2 linked regions of the Caenorhabditis elegans genome follow. The protein of the gene in region 2 interacts with the protein of the main gene of each other region in a pairwise test. Each region holds a gene or a part of one and is shown on either strand. Other genes may lie near its edges. The genes, in order: nhr-53 and gsr-1.

The links.
Region 1: the proteins of gsr-1 (region 2) and nhr-53 interact in a two-hybrid assay, tested with the Caenorhabditis elegans proteins (one large-scale study listed by BioGRID).

What each region holds. Positions count from the first base shown.
Region 1 is NC_003283.11:15,696,883-15,708,120, reverse strand, and holds nhr-53 (Nuclear hormone receptor family member nhr-53), read left to right. Parts: upstream 1-5,757; 5' UTR 5,758-5,761; coding exon 5,762-5,883; intron 5,884-6,068; coding exon 6,069-6,154; intron 6,155-6,211; coding exon 6,212-6,414; intron 6,415-6,663; coding exon 6,664-6,859; intron 6,860-6,914; coding exon 6,915-7,300; intron 7,301-7,355; coding exon 7,356-7,457; 3' UTR 7,458-7,515; downstream 7,516-11,238. Other genes in the region: twk-34 (Potassium channel domain-containing protein), read right to left, coding at 1-43, 91-325, 966-1,264, 1,689-1,811, 1,857-2,286, 2,397-2,478, 2,937-2,991, 3,048-3,062; Nuclear hormone receptor family member nhr-199, read left to right, coding at 8,222-8,346, 8,391-8,724, 8,784-8,979, 9,031-9,593; srx-29 (7TM GPCR serpentine receptor class x (Srx) domain-containing protein), read left to right, coding at 9,922-9,960, 10,017-10,177, 10,223-10,369, 10,741-11,193. UniProt on the Caenorhabditis elegans protein: Orphan nuclear receptor.
Region 2 is NC_003281.10:3,644,186-3,656,136, forward strand, and holds gsr-1 (Glutathione reductase, mitochondrial), read left to right. Parts: upstream 1-6,721; 5' UTR 6,722-6,790; coding exon 6,791-6,825; intron 6,826-7,143; coding exon 7,144-7,398; intron 7,399-7,453; coding exon 7,454-7,811; intron 7,812-7,861; coding exon 7,862-8,333; intron 8,334-8,389; coding exon 8,390-8,691; 3' UTR 8,692-8,773; downstream 8,774-11,951. Other genes in the region: Putative potassium channel regulatory protein unc-93, read left to right, coding at 190-297, 350-594, 646-732, 934-1,137, 1,184-1,280, 1,885-1,994, 2,040-2,174, 2,427-2,567 and 8 more; madf-8 (MADF domain-containing protein), read right to left, coding at 4,728-4,851, 5,267-5,419, 5,470-5,662, 5,709-5,836, 5,887-6,014, 6,062-6,124, 6,405-6,511, 6,556-6,562; C46F11.5 (RING-type domain-containing protein), read right to left, coding at 8,897-8,974, 9,022-9,116, 9,163-9,291, 9,823-9,943, 9,985-10,144, 10,216-10,373, 10,766-10,962, 11,615-11,791. UniProt on the Caenorhabditis elegans protein: Catalyzes the reduction of glutathione disulfide (GSSG) to reduced glutathione (GSH). Constitutes the major mechanism to maintain a high GSH:GSSG ratio in the cytosol. Involved in resistance to oxidative stress and starvation.

The sequences.
Region 1 (11,238 bases), on a different chromosome or scaffold from region 2:
GTGCCATACCAAAGAAAAACATGATAGAGATGATAGGCGAGAACTGATGATGTGATTTTTCAATTTTTGATCTTGTCTACGTAAACTTACCGTAGCATTATTCGGCATGATATCTCCCAAACCAATTGTACTTAGAGATATGAATGAAAAGTAGAAACAAAGGAATACAGACATTCCACTTCCAGATTCATCTCCACTGAGCTCATCGAATACGTGGATAAATATTGTGCAAAATGCAAGGTAAAGAGCCAGGAGTAGGAGACAGGCTTTGATGGGGATTTTGATGATTTCGTTTACGTCTATACTTGTGTCTCCGTTTATTTCTCTGAAAAATTATTCTCAGGGAATTTGAGCATTAAAAAAATTGGCATTTTTTTACAAAACTTCGATGAAAAAATCCTTGTTTTTTTTTCAGAAAATAGTAGTGCTTTGTGCCACTAATTACAGAAAATAGCAATTTTTCAAATTTGCGGAGAAAAAAAAAATTAATCAATAAATTATTGGTAGGATTCATTTTGAAATTTTTGTCACAACTTTACCCAAGAAATTCATTTTTTTTCCGTGTAAAAGGTTTTTTTTGTTATACCTAACTAAGTAAACTATTAAAAAAATCATTTTTTCGTTTTTTTCTGTTGAAAAAATGTTGAAAATTCTTTCGTCAAATTTTCAAACATACATTAAAACAATTTGATAACCCGAAAAAAATTCTGAGACTCCAAATTTCATTTGCGAGGAAATTTAATAAAAATCAGCCTATTTTTTTTTAATTTTTGCAAGTTGAAGAAAATAGCATGAAAAACAATTGTTATAAACATTTTCAGATCATTTATTACAAAATCCCAACATTTTTCTTGATAAATCCAAGCGAGATTTTAAAATTTTCCAGTTTTTAATAGTACCAACATTTTTCTAACAAGACAAAATTTTTTAAGAATGCTCTTTGGCTCTACCTGCCTAAAACTCACCTCCATCTCTGTATCAATTGAGCATAAAGTTTTGTTAAATGCACCAAGAAAAACTGTCCAAGATCCCTGAGCGCCACAAGTGTGACGGGGACAAAAATGAATCCGTACAGGCAGACGAGAACCTGTCCAAGTATGGATTCCGGTGCGATCGACCCGTATCCGGTAGTTGTATAGACATTCATACTGAAGAAAAATGCACTTTCGAATGTCCATTTCCAGTTTTTCCCGTGATCTTCCAGTTTGTAGTAGGTACTTCCCTTGTACTGCCCCTCGAGTTTCATCAGTGATACGTAGGCTTCCTATAAATTAGTATTTATTAATTATCAGGATATGGAACAGAAAACAGCTTCCTATAGAACCCCTTCTGGCGTCGGCCGCTGGCAGACTAGGTACTTGTGTGGTGTCGGACGCTACCATAATAACGACCTGTGCGGTATCGGTCGCTAAAAAATTAAGAACTCATGCGATGCCGGGCGCTAGCAAACTAGGAAGCCGAGTATTGTCGGCCGCTAGCAAATTACTAGCCGGACGTTAATTAGGAAGAACCCGGGTAGTGTCAGGCGCAATCTTTGGCCGCAACAGTTCGGTAGAAAATGTTATTAGTGTGCTCACTATCAGTAGTCCGGGAGCTCCGGGTGCACCCGACACCGCCCGGGTTCCGCCACTCAACCTGAAATCTTACTGTATATTTGAGGCCCGCGCAGCGTCCACCAGACAACTTACCCTAATGTAAACTTGCATTTCTGCCTCCGTCGTTGTTGTATTTGGATTGTTCACGATTTCGGTGATATTTGTAGCAAGTATATTTAGCAAATTCTCCAAGTTAGTGACACGTTCCAGAGTAACCTGAACTTGCGAAATTTTTAGATTTTGCGACAGAAACAATCCTACAGCTCTTTCATTTCGACTTTCCACTGTCCAAAACATGAATGCTCCAAAAATCGTGTAGCTCAGTACCATCAGAGCCACCATTATATGTCTGAGACCAATTTGTTTCCGATGGAATGCGAACCAATACATGGATCTATCAAAGTGCCGGTCAGTTGGCATCACAGGTTCACCGAGAGCTCCTGGACTACTGAGCACACTAATTGCATCTTGTCTCGGCTTATATCTTCTCTGAAGCTGTCCAAATGTGTCTTGATTCCTTTGAAATCCTGATACGGTATGAGCATTTCTCTCGTAATACTTTTCGACGGCTTCAACCTTTGAAAGACTCGTCGATGAGTTGCTACGCGAGAGTGGAAGGTTCTGCATTGTTGGGTGAACACGGTTCTTTTTTCGCTCTCTTTCTTCAAGTGGGGTTAGCTTTGGCTCTTGGCTGAAATTCTGGAAGTTTTTGTTGTGCAATTTACAGAAAATGGTCATTTTGGAAATTTTAAAAATATCTTAAATCAAATTCTCAAAAATAAAAATTAATAAAAACCTCACCTTTCTTCTGCTGGAGCAACATTATTCACCGGCGGCTCCGGATTTTCCGGTTTCACCCCGCCGTCTTCCTCCTCGTCGATTTCTGAAATAAACTTTTTTTTCAAATTTTAAATTTGTCGTAATTTTTTTAAATGAAAAGTCAAATTCACTGTAAATTTTACACACTCAACTCAAATTTTCAATGAATTCGGAAAGCGAAAATCAGATTTTTTTTTAATATTCAGTTTTTTGACAGCAGACATATATATTAAACAACCAGTCTAATTTTTATGAGCAATTGAATTTTTCGAAATCTTGTTGCAAAATAACAAAATATCCAGGCAATTTCAAAGGAAAAATTCAAATTTCCAGTCAATTTTAAACGGGAGAATTTTTTTAGCAAAATGTCCAATGAATTTTAGTTGGGAAAATATATTTCAAGTCAAATTCAGTCAAGAAAACAAGATTTTCTATCAGTCTTAAGCTACAACACCTATTTCTCTTCAACAAAAACATGACACATCTACTATAAAAAAAATACAGTAATCCATTTAAACGAACCTTCCAAAACTGCCTGATGAGAATTCGCGGGACCATTTCTTGTCGGGATTGTCACCTAAAATCAATACAACTTTCTAGCTTAACCTTCAAAAATCGCATTTGACTTATTACCTTTGCGGTAATCATTTTTGGTCTTTGACGTGAATAGATCAAATGAGAATATCGTGCGACTTTTCTGAAGAAATTCTGAATTGACTGATATGACGAGACTGTATTGAAGGAAAAATAAAAAGTTAAAATGAAAAAACCAACGTATACGCGCAAAAAGTGACACAATGATATCACTGATATCACTTGAAGTGATAATCTCAGACACTTTTCATCTTTGTTCTCATTTCCTCACTGTTTGAAAGAGAAGGGGCTGATTTGGGGGACTATAAAAATGTTAATGGTGTCGTGCACTTTTCCGGATTTTCATATGTTTATTTTTTTGTGTTTCTATCAATTGATTTCTGAAATTACAGTCAAGATTTATAAAACTTCGCTTCTGATTTTCGAATTCGAGTTTTCAGAAAATGTTGTAATTGAAGTTTTCAAAAAAACTCTGACAATTATTTTCATAAAATACTGAGATTTATAATTTTAGAAAATGCTGAAATTTATATTTTCAGAAAATGCTGAAAATGAAAATTTTCAGAAATTTCTGAAATTGAAGTTTTTTTTTCCAAAAATACAGAAACTTAATTTCCGCAAAATTTGTTTGTACTTCCAAAATTTAAATAGCTTTTTTTAGAGATCTAGCCATTAAAAAACGTTTTTTAAAACAAAGTGTACGCAAAAAAATCACAGCAAAAAATGCATACATCATTTGCAACAGGTTGCATATTGGATCCAAACCTCCAAATTGTTTCACTTTTTTATTTCGTGAAAATCAAAACACTGTGACCATTATGACGTTTTGCAAACTTTTTTGAACTATTTAATCGGATTTTCACAGTTTTCAAAGCAAAACTGTTCGACTTTGTGATGACATCCCGCTGTGAAATTGACATCATTTTTGGGAACTGAACTCCAAAATTTTTAATCGTGTTAACAATATAAAAAATCAAAACTAAAAGAATAAAACTGAAATATATGTATGATGAGAACATAAAATTCGTGGAAGAAGTTATGAGTGGGAACTGAGCGCTATCAAATTTTTCAAAGTGAAAAATTATTACAGTATTTTTCATATCACTGAAAGCGCCTTTAAAAAAATAGAATTATCAATAAAATACAAAATTAATATATTTTCAGGTAGCGTTCAATTTATGAAAAAAACAGGAGACGAACAGTAATAAAACAATATTACACAATTTGTTTCAGGTTTGCTTTGACACCCTGTACCAAAACATTTCAACAATTTTTATTCATTGATTGTCTGATGGGAAAAAGAAATATCGATAAGTGATTGAAATGGAAATCTTCTCTTGTCGGGTTTCATTTGGATTTTGAACTTGCTAAAAAATTTCACCTTTTCGGGTAACGTTCTCGTGAACATGGACTGTGAACAGGTGGTAAATAAATACGCTAGTAGGCACGCAGGCAGGCTGTGGCAAGCCTACATTCAAACACCATCTATGGTAGAATCAACTTAGAAATGTGAGAGCTAATTTGCTGAAAATCCTGAAAGTTTCTATAATTTTTTCTTTTTATATTTTCAGAGAGCTTATTTTAAGGGAGTTTAAATCCCAAAATGCTTTGTAAATTATATTTTTATTAGATTTTTCCAGAAAAATTGAACAACTGCATATCTTGCAAATTGCAAGTTTACTTCGAAAAAAATTGAACTCTTCTGGCTTCAGATTCAATTTTTAAAATACTTTCTGCTATTAATTATTTCAGATAATTTGAATTCATTTCCCACATCACGTTCAAGAAGGCTTTTTTTCTTTTAGCCCAATCTCCAACCATTTTTTTCAATCCAATCAACATTTGTAGCACTACAGTGTAGTCAGTGTGTGTCAATCTGTTCCCTTTCTCTAAAGAAAACATCACAGTCCATTGTTCCGCACAGTTGATTTACTTGTGTATTTACTTTCAGTGCCTATCCTATTTGTAGTGCACAAATGAGAGCATTTTTATAAATGAAAAGAGTCTTCTAGTTCAAGGTATTTTGGTCAAATTACATGTTTCAATTTTCAAACAGTATAAGTTTCAATTTTTGAACATTTTAGATTTTCAATTCCTAATATTTTTTATTTACATTTCACAAATCACTCGCTACTCGGGAAACATCGCAGTTAGTGAAATATGAGAAAAAATTAGACTTTTCCAACACGGGATGCTCGCAATATTTAATTTTCCAATGAAAAGTTGCTCTTTAATCTGGTGAAAAAAAATTTTAGACTATGCTGCCTTACGGCTTATGCATAATTTTTTATTTTTTATTCATAATCTCTTCCTTAGTAGCCCACATAACTTATTTTTATTTCTTGTTTCAAGGTTTTAAAATCTGGTTTATTTTATATCAATTTTGCCAAAAATTTTCAAATCCTTGCATATTAAATTCAAAAGTGATCAATGATGTTATCAATAGGGAAACCATATGACGAGGCGAAAGGTGATAAAATGATCTGATTATTGTATTATTGAGTGGTGGCCGCCGTATTTTCACTTTGTTTCACTTCAGCCAACTTGAATTGTTAGTATCTTTTTATAGATTTTTCTTACTATTGATTGTTCATTTATTAAATAGAACTTATTATACCTGAATAAATAACATTTTCATGTTTCTTATGACATTTAGCTAATTCCACTTTGGATTATCCGTCTTTCTATTTTTCAACAAACTCATTTCCCTAATATTTTTATCATCACACATTTTCAACTTTCTTTTCAGAAAAATGCCTTCCCCAACTCATTTATTAAACAATTTCGAAAGTTCTTCTTCCCAAGGACCACCTTCATATTGTCTGATTTGTTGTGAAGTTGCTGATGGACATCATTTTGGAGCAGCAGCATGTAGGCAAGTTTTTTGTATGTTCCTGTAATATATCTACAGTAACCCAACTGTAAACGTGTTAAATATTCACAAAACGTGTACCTTGTGAGCAGAAGAAGCGCTGACAAAAAATATGTGGGCGGACCTCGGTCGATGTCGGCTGCAAATTTACTTTTTTTTCTCAAATAAATTTAACGATTATGTTTCAGAGCCTGCGCTGCATTCTTCCGACGCACAGTCCAACTGAATAAGGTCCACGATTGTCCGAAAAATGGTCAATGTTTTATCTTATCAAGTGAGTATCTATAACTACACCACTACAATTTGTATGGTCCGAACTACACATATTCAGATGTGCGTAACATGTGTAGAGCCTGTAGGTACGAGAAATGTCTCGAAGTGGGAATGCAACGATCATCTGTACAACAGAAACGTGATCAACTGGGGAGGCGAGACGGTTTACCGACGAACCGTGAAGAACCAGTTCTGGACACTATGCGGAGGGCGTATGAAAAGTTACTAGTTGTCAGGAAGAAGGTTCATAACCGGCAGGAGGTAGGGGTGATTTTATACGGATATTTGGATATTGTTAAAGGATGAAATCTGAACTTATGCTTTACATTTTTTTAATTAAAAAATACTCACAGTGAGGGTCGAACCCCCTAACTTTGTGTACAAGAAAACTCCCACTGCGCCGTTTGGGAAATTAAAAAAAAAAAAACTTTAAGAACCTCGAACATAAATTACAGAGTTTCATTTCGAAATTTTCAAAAAAATTACCAAAAGCTTAAAACTTTTTTCCAGAACCAACTTCCCCGAGCCATCAGTTTCAACGAGCTTCAAGTAGTGTATCAAAATGAGATGACTGTAATTTATCAATTCCTTTGCGAAGCATTTCCCGAGTACTCTGAGCTCCTTCCAGACACAAAACGATCGCTTTTTAAGAATTTTTTCCTACCATTCACACTTTTGGAGAGCTCATATTATGGATATTTGACGAGTAAGTTCCACTTTTTAGATAAAAATTAAAATTAAATCAAAAACTGAAATTTCAGAGCAAGAAAATGTGATGCTCATTCCTTCGGGCGACTACGTTGATTTGGCTCATCTAGAGTCATATTTCAACAATAATCATCACACGTTTTCTCAAAAAGACACTATTTCGATGTTTGCTCAGCAATTTCGAATGCTCCACACTTCTATAACTGTTCCGTTGAGTGCTGAAAATGTAGATGTTAATGAGTTTCTAGCTCTAGCGGCTATAATTCTCTGGGAATCCGATTTAGAAGTAGAAGCCGATCGGAAGAATGTTCAAGAGGAAGCTGTGAAGATTAAGAGCGCTATTATCAAGGATCTACTTTTTCACTATCAATCTATAAATGTATACGCTGACGTGGCAATGAGGCTTGGCGCTGTTTTGTCCATACTTCCTTCAATTCAGGTTTGCTGCTCGCGGAGCAACAATTTTTTGATTATAAGCTCAAAAGTTGTTTCAGAGAGCCAGTCACCGTTTCCACGAGTATATGGAAATCAAAAATCTGCTCAATTTGTATGCTCTGCCCAAGAATCTCTACGACATGTTCTCGCCAACTTCCTGAATTTTAATGTTTTTTTTAAATTTATTTTCTTAGTGTACAATAAACAAGTATTATTTTTATTTGTCTATAAAATTAAAACTTTTGTTAGAATTGTCCTGAAAAGCAGAAGTGGGGAATAAGAAGAAGAAATGTGCCGAATAAATGTACCGAACAATGCGACTTTGCAGTTGAGCAACTTTTTGAAATTTTTAATCAAAAGTAATGCTATTTTCAGAAAAAATAACTTTGGCAAATCCATAAGAAGGAGAGGATTTCGCAAATTCTGTTAATGCGCTCTGGTGGAGCATGCTCAGTTTAAAAAAAAGAGTATAATTTCGGAAAGCTGTGCAAACACGCCATGCAATTTTATAATTTTCAATAGGCACACGAGGTATAAAAGCATGCCACAACCATTGTTTTTCAAGAGTTTGTTGAGTTCTGAAATAACATCAGATTAAGCTGGAGTCCGATTTGCCTTTATGACTAATGAGCCTCGTGAATATATAATATATTGTCTCGTTAGCTCTCAGAGTGTTTGATCATATTCAAAACGTGTGTAATGAGTTCTATTTGGCAGACACATCACACAACAAATCTACCTCCAACTTTTTGATCTTACAAACTTATTTCTGCTTTTTTTAGTCTCTATATAGTCTAATCCAAGGGATTTTGTGAAGCTCAAAAATTCAAAAATCTCAGAATATTGTTATTCTTGTTTTTTTTAAATCCATTTGAAAACAGGTGCAGTTGCAGATGATAATTAATTATTCATTTATTTCAGAAACATGTTCACCCTAGCTCGTGTGTTGAACAATATTGGAAGCGCTTCATCCAATGAACCGATTCCATATTGTTTGATTTGTAGTGAGGTTGCTGATGGGAATCATTTTGGAGTAGCTGCAGCGTGTAGGTGAGTAACTTTTTCAAAAATTTTGAAATTCGTGAAATTTTCAGAGCTTGCGCTGCATTTTTCCGCCGCACAGTCCAACACAATAAGATCCACGAGTGTGGGAGAAATGGGCAATGCTTTTTCCTATCATGCAAGTTTTTATTGGTCGGGTTTCAAATATCACCACTAAGTTCAGACGCACGGAGCATGTGTAAAGCCTGCAGGTACGGTAAGTGCCTTGAAATGGGAATGCAACGATCATCGGTGCAACAGAGACGTGAACAACTCGGGAAACGTCTGAATATCTCTGATGATCGTGGAAAGCCAGTGCTTAATAAGTTGCGAAGAGCGTACGAAATGTTAATTTTAAACAGGAAACACGTGCATAATAGGCGGGAGGTAAGGACTGTTTAATTGTTCATATGAAATACTGATACCTGATCAGTGAACCATTTCAGAACCAAGCACCCCGAGCCATCGGCTTTAACGAGCTTCCAATCGTGTTTCAAAACGAGTCGACAAGCATATATCAGTTCCTCTGGGAAGCATTTCCCGAGTACTCCATGCTTCTTCCAGACACAAAACTCGCATTTTTCAAAAATTTCTTCTTGTCGTTCTGTCTATTTGAGAGCTCGTTTAATGGATGTTCAGCAAGTATGTTTTTTTTTCAGCCATAATTTTTTCATTCCATATCTAAATTTTCAGAGCAAAAAAATGTGATGCTCATTCCATCCGGTGACTACATCGATTTGGCTCATTCTGAATCGTTTTTCACCAACGATCATCAAACTTTCACTGAAAGAGACAATATTGAAATACTCGCTCAAAGGCTAAAATTAATACAATCATCTATAACTGTTCCGTTGAGTGCTGAAAATGTAGATATCTATGAGTTCCTCGCGCTTGCGGGTATCATTCTCTTGGAATCGGATTCTGAGTCAGAAGCCGATTTTCAAGAAGAAGCTGTGAAGATTAAGAGCAATATCATCAAGGATCTACTTTTTCACTATCAATGTATAAATATTTATGATGACGCAGCAATGAGGCTTGGCGCAGTTTTGTCCATACTTCCATCAATTCAAGTTTGTTGCTCGCGGAGCAACAATTTTTTGATTATAAACTCTAAAGATGTTTCAGAGAGCCAGTCACCGTTTTCACGAATACATGGAAATCAAAAATATGCTCAATTTGTACGCTCTTCCCAAGAATCTTTACGACATGTTCTCGCCAACTTCATAAAATTTATTTGTAAATTTGTTTCTATTTGATTTTTTTTAAATAGTTATACTGTAAATTTTTGATTCCAGTAGTATTAATAAAAATGTACAAAACTTTGGCAGCCACTTTTGCCGAGTACCTCAGAGCGCATTTGCAATTTCTATAACTGTTTTTTTTAGTTTGATCTACGAAAATGCGCTGATAATCTCTAGCTGTAAATTAACTATTATTTTTAATAATACATCAATAGTACCACGCCGTTGGCTAGACCGGAAATTAAAATGCACAGTTTTTCATATTTCCTTCAGATTTTTTTCATCACCATGATATTGTCTCATCAAGCTGTAAGTTACTCAGAAAACATTCTAAAATTTCCCAATGTATCAGCAATTTGTCGTCTCCGCAATCACCTTTATTGTGAGTTTTTGTAAAACGTAGTTGATAGAAGGTACTGTAAACTGCTCCAATTTCAGGTATCATTAATAGGTATCCTCTCAAATATAGTTTTAGTCCTTGCAATCCGTAAAACGTACTCCATGAATGGCTCTTTTGGGATAATCACTAAAAACCAAGCAATTTGTAATATCCTGACCTGTGCAATATTTCTAGTGTATGTTTTCCCTTTACAAGTTAGGTAGGTGTTACAGGAAAACAATTTAAAATAGTTTTTTTTCTAAAGATACTCACCTCCTATGATTCACATCTCACATTATGTTGGAAACACTTGCATGACAATTTACGAGATTTCGAATTTATCTCATTTATTGATTGCTCTCAATCGATTCTGCGTGCTATTTTTTCAGCATCGATATGAGCAACTTTTCAGGTAATTTTGAGCAATAAGTGGTGCGGGCGATATGGGGGAGGCACGTGGTGTCAGGCAGTACCATTTGATCTACAAAATGCGGGATTTTTTTGCCCAGGAAAGTGCGGCGTCGGCACGCTGTTAACCATGCAAAATCGGTTTAGAAATCGGCGTCTAAATTATCGCAAATCTCGCAGGTCAAACCGAAATGTGACACTCTGACACCACGTGTGGAGAGCGTAAAAAACGTCTATCTTCCGTGGGTGCCTAAAACAGCAAGTTAGTAACACATATTCGTGCACCAGACATCTCCCGGGTTCCGCCACAAGATGCGCTGTCTTGAAACCCTGCAGATGTCGGGCGCTAGCCGTAGTCACATTTCTCTCTTCCAGTAACCCGAACACAGTAATCATGCGGAATTACTTGTGGATAACTTGTATTATATTTTGTGCAGTCTGCTATGAGTTCTCCAAGTGCTTCCTCAAATACAACCCCAACCACTGGTCATTCGAATTTGAGAATTCGGATTTTTGCGATTCTCTGATCTGGTATTCGGATTTCCTTTTCAACACGGGAATCGATATAATCACTTTGTTTCTGAATTTACTGACTGCTTACAAAGGAAGAAAACAGTCACGAGTTCTGATAAATGCGGCCGGATTGAAAGTTTCCGCGATTCAACGGAGAAGAGAATGGAATTTTGTGAAGCAGACCTGTTTTCAAGGCTTATCGATATTTACAGGCCAGGTTGCTTTTTATTTTGTGGCTCCAGTCATTGATGCAGACTGGGTCATTGCTCAATTTATTGCTGCTACTTTTTGGGTGTTTATCCATGCCGCAGAGGGGTGAGTTTCAGGCCTACCTGAGTGCCTACAGGTCATATCACAGTT
Region 2 (11,951 bases):
ACTTTATGACAAAAACCCTGTAAAAATGCGAAATTTAGACTTTTACGATATAAAAATTTAAAAAAACTGGTTTGTCCGAGAGGAGTACACGCCGGATGCGCTTTGCGACTTTTGCGCGGTAATTCAAATTTGAATTTTCCGCATAGTTGAATTTAGCGTATTCTTAGGGCAAATTAACAGAAAAAATGTATGAAATTTCAGAAAATGGGTGATTCAAACACCTGGGACCTTGTTGGAGAGCAGCAGCAACGGAAGAAAAGTAGATCACCGTCAAGAGCAAGCCGTGTGGATTCGGAAGTAATTTTAAGCGCATTCAATATGTACTAATTAAAGGTGCATACACTTTCAGCTACTTGTCGGTGTTGAAAACGCGGCTGAACTTGAAGCTCTTGGCCTAGGAAAAGAGCAGCTGGAAGAAGAAGCCAGACGGCACAAAAAGCAGCGGAGCAAGTCGCCGGCTCTCGAGAATATTCGAAAAACTTCGATTCATCTTTTGCAAAAATTTGGAGCGATTCCAAAAAAGAAGGATGATAGTGTTTTACTTTTTAGATTTCATGATATTCCTGATATTCCCTTGGAATCTTTATGCATCAGGTGAGAAAGAAGTTGCAAAATTTATTTTGAAAATTCGAAAAATAATTTCAGACCGAAAGAGTTTTTCGAGGAGCCCAAAGTATTTTCCTTTCGAGACATGGGCAGGGAACAGCAGAAGGCAGAGGTTAATGAGAAGTGGTAAGGGGTTTTTGAATTTGCGCGTCAAATTCGGTGTTTGCATTTTCCAAGCTCGAGCGACAATGGCCGAGGATTTTTCTCGGCCATATAGAAAAACCGATCTCTTGCGTTTCTAAGTTGCTACAGCCGCGAAAAAAAACATCGGTGGCCGAGTTTTCCAATTTTCCCGGCCACGAATCAAAATTCGGAATTTATTTTCAGCTCCTACTTATTCCGTGGCACCTCATTCGACCACGACGATCATTTCGAACTTCCCACTGAAACAGGCCGTGTTCCAGAATATGATCATTTTTGCCCGATTCATGGATCCAGGCGAAGACTTCCACGTAATAAATTGGTCACAATGCAAACTCTCATGCATTCGGTAGATGATGAAGATAATGAAGATTTGGCTTATATTTATGGGTTAGTTTTCAGAGAAATTTGAATGAAAATTTTAATCGGTTTTCAGGCACGACTTTCTGGCGAAATTGGTTAGGAAGAAGAAGCGAGAAATGATGAGTGGAACGGAAAAAGAAAGAGCTAATAAGATTAAAAGGAAAATTATGGTAATTTTCAAAACGTGGCTGCGAAATGGGAAAACTAGGCCACCACAGAAAACTAGGCCACCAGAGAAAACTAGGCCGCTAGAAAGATAAACTAGGCCACTAGAACGATAAACTAGACCGCTTGAAAAACTAGGCCACGATCAAAAAAGCTACTACTATTGAAAAAAAAAACTAGACCACTGGACAAAAAGCTAGGCCGTTCGAAAAAAGACACTAGAAAATAACTAGGCAGTTTTTAATTAATTTCATTAATTAATTGCAATTAATCAAGTTTCAAAAAATGCGAAAACTCGGCCACCGACTTTTTTCGCGGCCGCGTGGTTCAAAACTATGAAAAAAATAACAGCAAAGTCGGTGGCCTAGTTTTATTGTCTCTGCCAAATGACACATACGATTGTAAAAATGGCTGGGAAAATCAGTGGCCTAGTTTTTTTCTAGTGGCCTATAATTTCTCTAGCGGCCTAGTCTTGATTGCTAGTGGCCTAGTTTTTTTTTTTTTCTGGTGGCCGAGTTTTCCTTTCAAATTAGGATACTTAGGATATATAGTGGCCGAGTTTCCTGTTTTCGCCACTTCAACTAGACCAACTAATCGAATCATTTTCAGTCAAATCTCTGGATTCTGTCCGTGGCTTTTCTCTTCCTGTTCACTGCATTTAACGGACTCCAAAATCTTCAAACTTCCGTCAATGGAGATCTCGGATCTGATAGTTTAGTGTAAGAACGTTTTGAATTTCAATTTGAAAAATAATAATTTTTCAGAGCCCTATATTTATCACTTGCCATATCATCATTATTTGTTCCATCATTTATGATAAATCGCCTCGGGTGCAAATTAACATTCCTTATTGCAATCTTCGTGTATTTTCTATACATTGTCATTAATTTGAGGCCGACGTAAGTTTTTGCGTTTTTTGAGCGCTTGTAACTCAGAAACTAAAATAGTTAGCAAAAAACTGTCAACTAACAAAATGTTAATCGATTTTTGATCTACATTTTGCTAGTTGACAACTTTTTGATATCTTTCACCTATAAGAAGTTATGTGCATTTGAAGAGCTAGAGATATAAAAAATTTATTGCCATTTATTTCCGTTTAGAACTTTTTGCTGTTTAGCATTGTTAGTTCTAAGCTACGTGGCTTTTTCCAGATACTCTTCTATGATCCCTGCTTCAATATTCTGTGGAATCGCGGCTTCATGTATCTGGGGAGCCAAATGCGCGTACATTACAGAAATGGGAATTCGATATGCTAGCCTGAACTTTGAAAGTCAGACTACTGTTATTGTTAGGTAATGGGCTGATTTTCTAAACCTTTTTCAAGCTTTTCAAGCTTTTAATCAAGCCAAATTCAGATTTTTCGGATATTTTTTCATGATTGTACACTGCGGACAAGTCGTCGGAAATATGGTATCCTCTTATATTTTTACACTGTCCTATTCGCAAGCCCTACGCGGTCCTGAAGATTCTATATACGATAGGTTTGCCGAAATTTTTTTTTGAAGTTTTAAAATTTCAATTTTCCAGCTGTGGCTACCAGTTTCCAAAGAATTTATCAGATCTTACCGAGTTGGCGGAGAGCAATCTTGCTCGGCCACCACAGAAAGTTTATGTAGCAGGTGAGCCTACATACCTACATACCTACATACCTACATACCTACATATCTACAAACCTACATACCTACATACCTACATACCTACATACCTACCTACCTATACCCAATTTTTTTTTAAATTTCAGTTTGTCTGGCATACCTCGCTTGTGTAATAATCAGTGGAATGATAATGAGCATGTTCCTGAATGCTTTGGCCAAAGATGCTCGGAACAGGTTTGCCTACTTCCAGTCTTCTCTTAAATTTGGCTCTGAGGTTTCAGAAAAATGGCTCAAAAGTTCAACTCGGAAATTTTCTACCTCATGCTCAAACATTTAATCAATATAAAGTTCATGTTGTTGGTGCCGTTGACGATTTTCAATGGTTTGGAGCAAGCTTTTCTAGTTGGAGTTTATACAAAGGTTAGTGTTACGTGGCCGTTAAGAGGGTAAACTCGGCCACGTCACTAAATCGCAAAACTGAAAATTTTCTTCCAGGCATTCGTCGGATGTGGCCTTGGAATTTGGCAAATAGGCTTTGTGATGGCCTGCTTCGGAATCTCCGACGCAGTCTGTTCCCTAGTCTTCGGGCCACTGATCAAGCTTTTCGGTCGGATGCCTCTTTTTGTTTTCGGAGCAGTAGTGAATCTATTAATGATTGTTACACTTATGGTATGATGCACCATATTTGACGCGCAATTTCATATCTCCTCTCAGGTTTGGCCACTAAATGCAGCCGACACTCAAATATTCTACGTAGTCGCTGCAATGTGGGGTATGGCAGATGGTGTCTGGAATACTCAGATTAATGGATTTTGGGTTGCACTTGTTGGAAGACAGTCTCTACAGTTTGCATTCACTAAATATCGATTTTGGGAATCTCTTGGAATTGCGATTGGATTTGCGTTGATTCGGTGAATTTTTTTTTTGGCTTTTGCCGCATTAAAAATTTATGGGGACGCATCCATTTTGTAATCGATGTGGAAACGCGCTCCACGGGCAATTGAAAACGCTCCGCCCCCTACAGTAGGGTCTCGTTAGGTAGTTGTGGTGGGACCTTGTAAATTCAAACTTTTTCAATTAGTTTCGCCGATTTCCATGCATTTTTCGTTTTTTTTGTTATATTTTCCGTTCTTTGTAAGGATTTTTTCGCCGAAATTGATGAAATAAAGTGGAATTTAAAAATTGAACTATTTTTTAAACTAAAAACGTATTTTTAAACATAATTAGTGGAAAAAATGACGAAAAACATTTTTAGAAACACAAAAAACATTTAAAACGTTAAAATTCGCGTTTTGGTCCCCAATACCTAACGAGACCCAGCTTTTGGGGGCAGGACATTTGCATTTAGCCGTGGAGCACGCTTGCACCTCAATCTGACTATTCGCATTTTTTGCGTCTCCATAATAATGTTGGCCGTGAAAAAAACAGGTGGCCGAGTTTTCTTTTAAATTTCCCGGCCACGCTAGATTTAACTTGAAAAATAATTGAATTTTCAGACACGTCACAGTTGAAATATATTTGCTGATAACATTCTTCATGCTACTTTTAGGAATGTGCGGATTTTTAGCAATTGAAAATTTCGATCACATTATTGTAAGGCTGATTCGAAGAAATTAATTTTTTCTAATTTTAAATTTTCCAGAAATTTTGGCATCACTTAATTCACACGTCATGTCCAGAGAAGGAACCGTTGGATGATAGAAATTCAGATTTTGAATGAAAATAATTAAAAATCAAAAAAATCAGTTAATAAATTCGTACTTTATGTTTTATTAAAAATTCGAAAAGTCGAGAAGTATAACAAAATGCAGTAAAATGAGAAATATGTGATAAAAATTAATAAAACGTGGCGGGTGGCTAATTGAGTTTCAAATTGCTAGACTCTGCGTTTTTCTTGAAAATTTTCAGAATTTCCAGTCCATGCTCAGCCATCATTTCGGGACTCGACATTCCGGTGTCGTAGAGAGATTTTAGAAGAAATCTGGAAAAATTTAATAGGATTAAGCCGTATGTGTCGATTTACGCAAGTCGTGTACTCCTCGAGAAGAAGAAGAACACAGTTTTCGGCTAAAATTCTTGATTTGGAACTGTTTGAGCTAATTTTTTCTGTATTCGAGTTTAGAGCACCGTTTTGTAGTTACAGTAGTTTTCGTGACGGGACCCAAATTGGTTTAGCACCCGTCGAGCTGTATTCAAAATTCCTGCTGAAAATAGAAAAAGGATTTTTTAATCATGTTTTCTATACTTTTTTTGTTTTTTGAAGTTTTTTACAGCAAAAGAATTGGCGAAGATGGTTCAAAATAGATCAAAATATACCCAAAAGTTGTGAATTTTTAAAAATAAAATGCAAACTTCTCTTCGAGGAGTACACTTTTTATGTTGGGAATTTTCCTCACGTCAGAACATTTTTCTTATCACCAGGTGTGCATTGGATATTCTTATCAGCCAATACTAATTTATCATGAACACTTTGAGATGGCTGAGCGACGGTTGGACGGAGACAGAATGTCGTTCGGAAATTTATCATTGGACGGTAGAACTCTAATGCACTGAAAAAATTATTATTTTCATTTCATTATTTTCAATTTTCCAGCCGTACTCTGCATAAATCCATTTTCTCAGATTGGCGGCGTTCACCGCTGATACGAAATAATCTCTTTTACTCTTCCAGATTTGTTTACGCCGAGCCAATGGATACTCTTCATCTATTCCAAGTTCCAAGTCGAGTTGATCCCAAGCACGGCGAGACAAATTCGAATTCCGATGACAAATCAGGCGTTGATCCCATAGGACTAAAAAGGGAAATTTTTGGAAAAACTTCTTGATTTCCTGACTTACTAGGCCTTTTCCGAACTGCATATATAATATCGTACACTTTTTCAGGCTCCGCGTAATCGATTTTTGTAGATTGGCGGACCCGATTGTACTTAAAATACTTGTCTGAGCGTGTTTGCACAGTCAAATCACTGAAAAAAGGATAAAAAAGAAATCTGATAATAAATGTTTTAATTCATACTTTCCATCATTCTTGAGCATATCGGCTGTAATTGAAGGAATGTACATCGAATTGTTGGATGCTCGATAATAAACTGTTTCGGGAATAATTCCGGCATCAGTTTTCGCTTTTAATTCTTCGTAATTTGTCTGAAATCTTTGAATAGAATTGAAACGAATATTATAAAAAGCTGTACCGGAATATTGCGACAAGATCTTCTAGTTGGTCCAAGACGAAGTTTCTTCGATTCGCTGGCGCTCTGAAAAAATGTTTGATTTGTCATCATTTTTTCTAGTTTTCAGTGAAACTTTTGTCATCATTTATTAGTTTTTTCTTGTGCCTGATTGAATTGATTGAAACTACATATAAATAATCACTATTTTAATTTTATTGCCCACTCGCGCTCTTTTTGGTTTTTTTCTAATAAAATTGTCTTTCTTCTCTGCGCACTCCACTATTGACCAAATCAGTGTTTCTTTCTATTTGTCATTGCCCCGACACTGCGAAGAACGTTCGCGATTGTTCTTTGTCTTTTTTACCTCTCTTAATTCCTCCGTTGTAATTGATTTCAAGTCGTCATCGAGTTGTTGAAAATCGGCAAACACTTTTCGCTTCACTATTCGGCCGCTTCGAGATTTTTCAACTTCTGAAAAATTGAGAGATTCATATAGACCATTTTTCAACATTTACCTGTCATTTTTTATTCCAGCGTGCGAATCCGTTTGGAAAATTGAGCGGAATTTTTAATTTCCAAAAAAACTTCTAAATTTCAAATTTTAAACTCTTCGCGCGCTGAAAAAGGGGCGGAGTTTTCAATTCGCAAAATGGGCGCGAGCTATTTGCAACTTGGGCGCACAATTTAGTCCTTGATGTTTGTTTATTTTTTGCTGATCAAATGTCTAAAAACTTCTGTGAACCCTTCTGAATGCTCCGATTTCGCTGCATTTTGAGCACTTCGAGGTATTAAATTGTTACTTTTTGGTTTAAAAAAAGTTTTTGTAGTCTTTGTGGAGTCAAATTTCCATAAAACCTCTCGAATTTCGGAAGAAGGGCGGTCACATGTTTGTAGTCGCGCTTTGCTATCTTTGTAATTTGTCATCGTTTTTGCGTCAGTCGATTTTGAGTATTTCATTCGAAAAATAAACTTTAAAGTCCACTTCGCGACTGAAAAGAAATAAAGCTTTGATTTTTCTGCGAATTTTCAATCGCGCCTCTCTTTCGATGTTCTTACAAGTTCTGTTATTTTCCAACTTTTAATTATTAAAATTCGAGTTCCAGGTCGATCATGTCTGGCGTCAAGGAGTTCGACTATTTGGTGATTGGTGGAGGATCTGGAGGTATCGCTTCTGCTCGGCGTGCTCGTGAATTCGGAGTTTCCGTCGGGCTCATCGAATCTGGACGTCTCGGAGGAACTTGCGTCAATGTTGGATGTGTTCCGAAGAAAGTTATGTACAATTGCTCTCTCCACGCCGAATTCATCCGGGACCACGCTGATTACGGATTTGATGTGACGCTTAACAAGTTTGATTGGAAGTGAGTAATTTTTAATTAGTTTAATCAAATAATTCTTAATTGTTTTGTTTTTTAGAGTGATCAAAAAATCGCGAGATGAGTACATCAAACGACTCAATGGTCTTTATGAGAGTGGACTGAAAGGATCCTCAGTCGAATATATTCGAGGACGTGCAACTTTTGCAGAAGACGGAACTGTTGAGGTCAACGGAGCGAAGTATCGTGGAAAGAACACGCTCATCGCTGTTGGAGGAAAGCCAACCATTCCAAACATCAAAGGAGCCGAACACGGTATTGATTCCGACGGATTCTTCGATCTCGAAGATCTGCCAAGCCGGACCGTTGTCGTTGGAGCTGGTTATATTGCCGTAGAGATTGCTGGAGTTCTCGCAAATCTTGGTTCAGACACGCATCTTCTTATTCGTTACGATAAGGTACCATGAGGAACATGGAAACTTTTCAAGTTTAACTAAATAATTTTCAGGTTCTCCGCACATTTGACAAAATGCTCAGCGATGAACTTACTGCTGATATGGACGAGGAAACGAATCCACTTCACTTGCACAAAAATACTCAAGTCACAGAAGTAATCAAAGGAGATGATGGTCTTTTGACAATCAAGACAACGACTGGAGTCATCGAAAAGGTTCAGACTTTGATTTGGGCCATCGGAAGAGATCCACTGACAAAAGAGCTTAATCTGGAACGTGTTGGAGTGAAAACCGACAAATCTGGGCATATTATTGTCGATGAGTACCAGAACACATCTGCTCCAGGAATTTTGTCTGTTGGAGATGATACTGGAAAGTTCCTTCTCACACCAGTCGCAATTGCTGCCGGACGTCGACTCTCTCATCGTCTGTTCAATGGTGAAACTGATAATAAGTTGACTTATGAGAACATTGCCACAGTGGTTTTCAGTCATCCACTTATTGGAACCGTCGGACTCACGGAAGGTATAATATCTTTAAAATTTAATTCTTTGTGTCAAATTTAATCCCCAAAATTTCAGCTGAGGCCGTTGAAAAGTACGGAAAAGACGAAGTTACCCTCTACAAATCTCGCTTCAATCCAATGTTGTTCGCAGTCACCAAGCACAAGGAGAAGGCCGCGATGAAGCTTGTTTGTGTCGGAAAAGACGAGAAAGTCGTCGGAGTCCATGTTTTCGGAGTTGGATCCGATGAGATGCTCCAAGGATTCGCTGTTGCTGTCACAATGGGCGCCACGAAGAAACAATTCGATCAGACTGTCGCGATTCACCCAACTTCTGCCGAAGAGCTCGTTACTATGCGAGGAGGTGTGAAGCCGGAATAATTTTTTATTTATTTATTACATTTTTAAATTTGGATCAATTTCTTTTGACTTTCTTGTAGATAAAACATTGCAAAATTTAAAATGCATGGCAAAAAAATTATTTACAGGTTATGCAAAAAAATCTAATTATGGTGAGTGCTACATATTAACCCGATGGGTAGATTTTGGTAGGAAAGGATTTTCAGAATTAAAACTGCAATTGAGACTATTCGAGAAGCTCATATTCGTCATCGGCGGCCACTTCTGATTTTTTAGGTTCTCGTCGCCTCCGTCGGATGGTTTTCTGCAAAATTTGGAGTTTTTTGGAAATTATTAAAAAGAAGAAAAAACTACTTTCGGAGCATCCAAATCGAATTCCTCATCACTGGATTCCGATCCATTGATTGCTGAGAATTGAAGACCTCGTTCGAATTCGAATTCTTCTTCTGAAATTTATTAACTAAAATAATTTAAAGAGTCTCTGAAAATAACCTGGAATCGGCGAAGAAGACAATTCCGATTGAATATCTTCATTATCATCATCATCCACATGATTCTCATCGAGATCGGTTTCATCGTTCACTTCTGGAAGAAATCCTTCGAGTTCCACATCGCTTTCTTCTGAAAAATCGATATTTAAAGTAAAAAATTGCTTAACAAAGTGAAAACGCGCTCCAATGCCAACTTTATATAGTCCACCCTATTCTCGTGGGTCTCGCCTGGAATTTCTAGCTTTTTGTCGTTTTTTAAAACATTTTTCGGTAGTTTTAATCATTTCTATGTCAAAATTGGTTAATTAAAAATTTTTTAGATTCATTTTTACATGGAAATCAGAAAAATAGAGGAAAAGTGTAAAAAGCAATTTTTACCATTTTAAAAAATTTTGTCTACTCCTTCGTTTCTCGTAAAAAAGTTTTTTTTTCCGAATTAATTAACTCGTTTTCAATAATTTTTAGATTAATTCAAACAGGAAAAATAGGGTTGAAAAAAAAATTTTTGTCTAAAAAGCCCTTTTTATTTTTATTTTAATGTAAAAAATGATCAAAAAATCGCTTTTCCGTAGTGTAAATTTCCGTTTTTTTCCAGACGAGACCCAAATAAAAGGGGCAGATCGATGGGAGTTTGCATTGGAGCGCGTTTCATAAGACGCACCACAAAATGGATTTTTCTCGGGAATATGATCGATAACTGTCTCACAGACTGGGCCAATTACGTGGATTAATGCACTTGTCTCGATGATTTTATATCGACTATGGAGATAATTTACAATGGGCTGAAAAATTGAATTTTTAAAATAAAATTAAAAAAAATTACCTCCAGGAGCAAGTGGTACACAAAAATCGAGACCTGCTTCCCCACCTCAACCATCAGACAACAAATTGGCCAGAGAATCGAGTCTCGCACGGAAATTGCAATTCGATGAAGGGTGTCGCGGAGCCAGCAACGGAGTTTTTCAAATTGGCACAATAGGAATCTGGAATTTTTTTGTTTTTTCTCAATTACTTTAAAAGTATAGAATAATGAACCTAGAACTCTCAAACTAACCCCTTAACCGGAACCCAAATATGCTTATAAGCCAATGCTCCAAGTGATTTCAACTGCTTAACACTGAATTTCCAGAGTGGTGGGAACCAGTGAGCACAGAAAATATAGACAAACACGAAACAAAGTTGATCGAAAAGGTAGCGGAGGGGAACACCGATCTGAAAAATCTTGTGCTAATCTGTATAATTCTATTGTAGTAATGGGGGAACACAGGCCAAACAATACTCAAATTGGCCCCCAAAAGAACGGAATTTATTAGCCTTTTTCAAAATTTTGTCGAGTTTTTTTGCTTATTATTCTCGTTTATCTGACGATTTTTCGTTGATTTAAGTACATTTTGAGCTGATTATTCAAAGAATCAAATAAAATTAGGGTTTGAGGCCATTATAAACATAGAAAAGAAGGCAATAGAAAATTTTCTAACAATTTGAGGAAATTATGAACAAAAAAAATAGGAACAATGAAAAATTATGACGGCATTGAATGAGCAAAAAAGAAGCAGGGAAAATTTCATAATAGAACTGATAAAAAACGAAATTAAAATGCTTACATTCAATTTCAGCCACTCTTTCAACGTCGGCCACCATTCTGCACAAAACCAATATCTGAGGAATTGACGAATTCTCTGAGCAACTCGTTTTGTTCGTTCTACGATCGCCACGTGGATCCAGTTTTTGATACCATTGACGAGTTCACGACATGATTCACGGAAATTGAAGATAAAATGCTTTACGTAGGCGATTAGAGCTGTAAAAAGAGAGGGGGTTTTCGATTTTTTAAAGAAAATATTTCAAATTTTTTGAAAAATTTTTTTTCAATAAATTATGTTTTTTTTTCCTGAAAATTAATAGCTTTACGGGAATTTTTCACAAAAAATTTGAAACATTTTTGCTTCGAATTGATTTTTTCTGGAAAACTGGCAATAAATAGATTCGATTTTCGATTTTTCGGAAAACTTTTAATTTTTAAAAATGTTCATAAATAAATAATTTTAAAAATCCCAAAAAAATATAGTGTTTCGGAATTTTAAATTAAAAAATTGGAAAATCTAAAAGTTACCGTATTTTTTTGATTTTTCGGGAAGAGAAAATTCCAATTTCCATTAATATTGTCAATTTTTTTCATAAAAAAATATTCTTAAGTTTCTCATATTTCCGGAATTGGTTTTTGAAAACAAAAAATTTAATGTTTTTATTTGGAAAATTTTTTTATTTTTTTTATTTTCAATTTTTCAAATAATGTACTTATTGCCAATTTTAAAATTTATTTCAATGAAATTTTCATTTTTCTTTAGATAACAAACATTTACAAAATTTCGTACAAAAATCATAGTTTTTTCCATTTTCCGATTTTCTCCGAAAATTCAATATTTTTGTGAAAAATATTTTTAAAAACTTACGTGGAACCCATCGGAAGAGCACAATATATTTAGTATACTCATATACAGTAACAACTGGAGTAATAATAAGATATTGAATCCAACTTCCAAACCAGGAAACTGTCCGCCGCGTTGCTGACGCTATTTTCGAGTTGACTTCGTTGTGCTCCCACACTGGATTTACAAGGAGACACGCTACTGAAAATGGAAAATTTTTTTTTGTTTTTTTTAATCTAAGAGACTTAGTATTGCGCGACATATCTCGTAACGAAATCTACAGTAAGTGACTTTAAGTGACTACTGTAGCGCCTGTGTCGATTTACGATTTACGGGCTCGAGTTTCGAAATGAATTGGAAT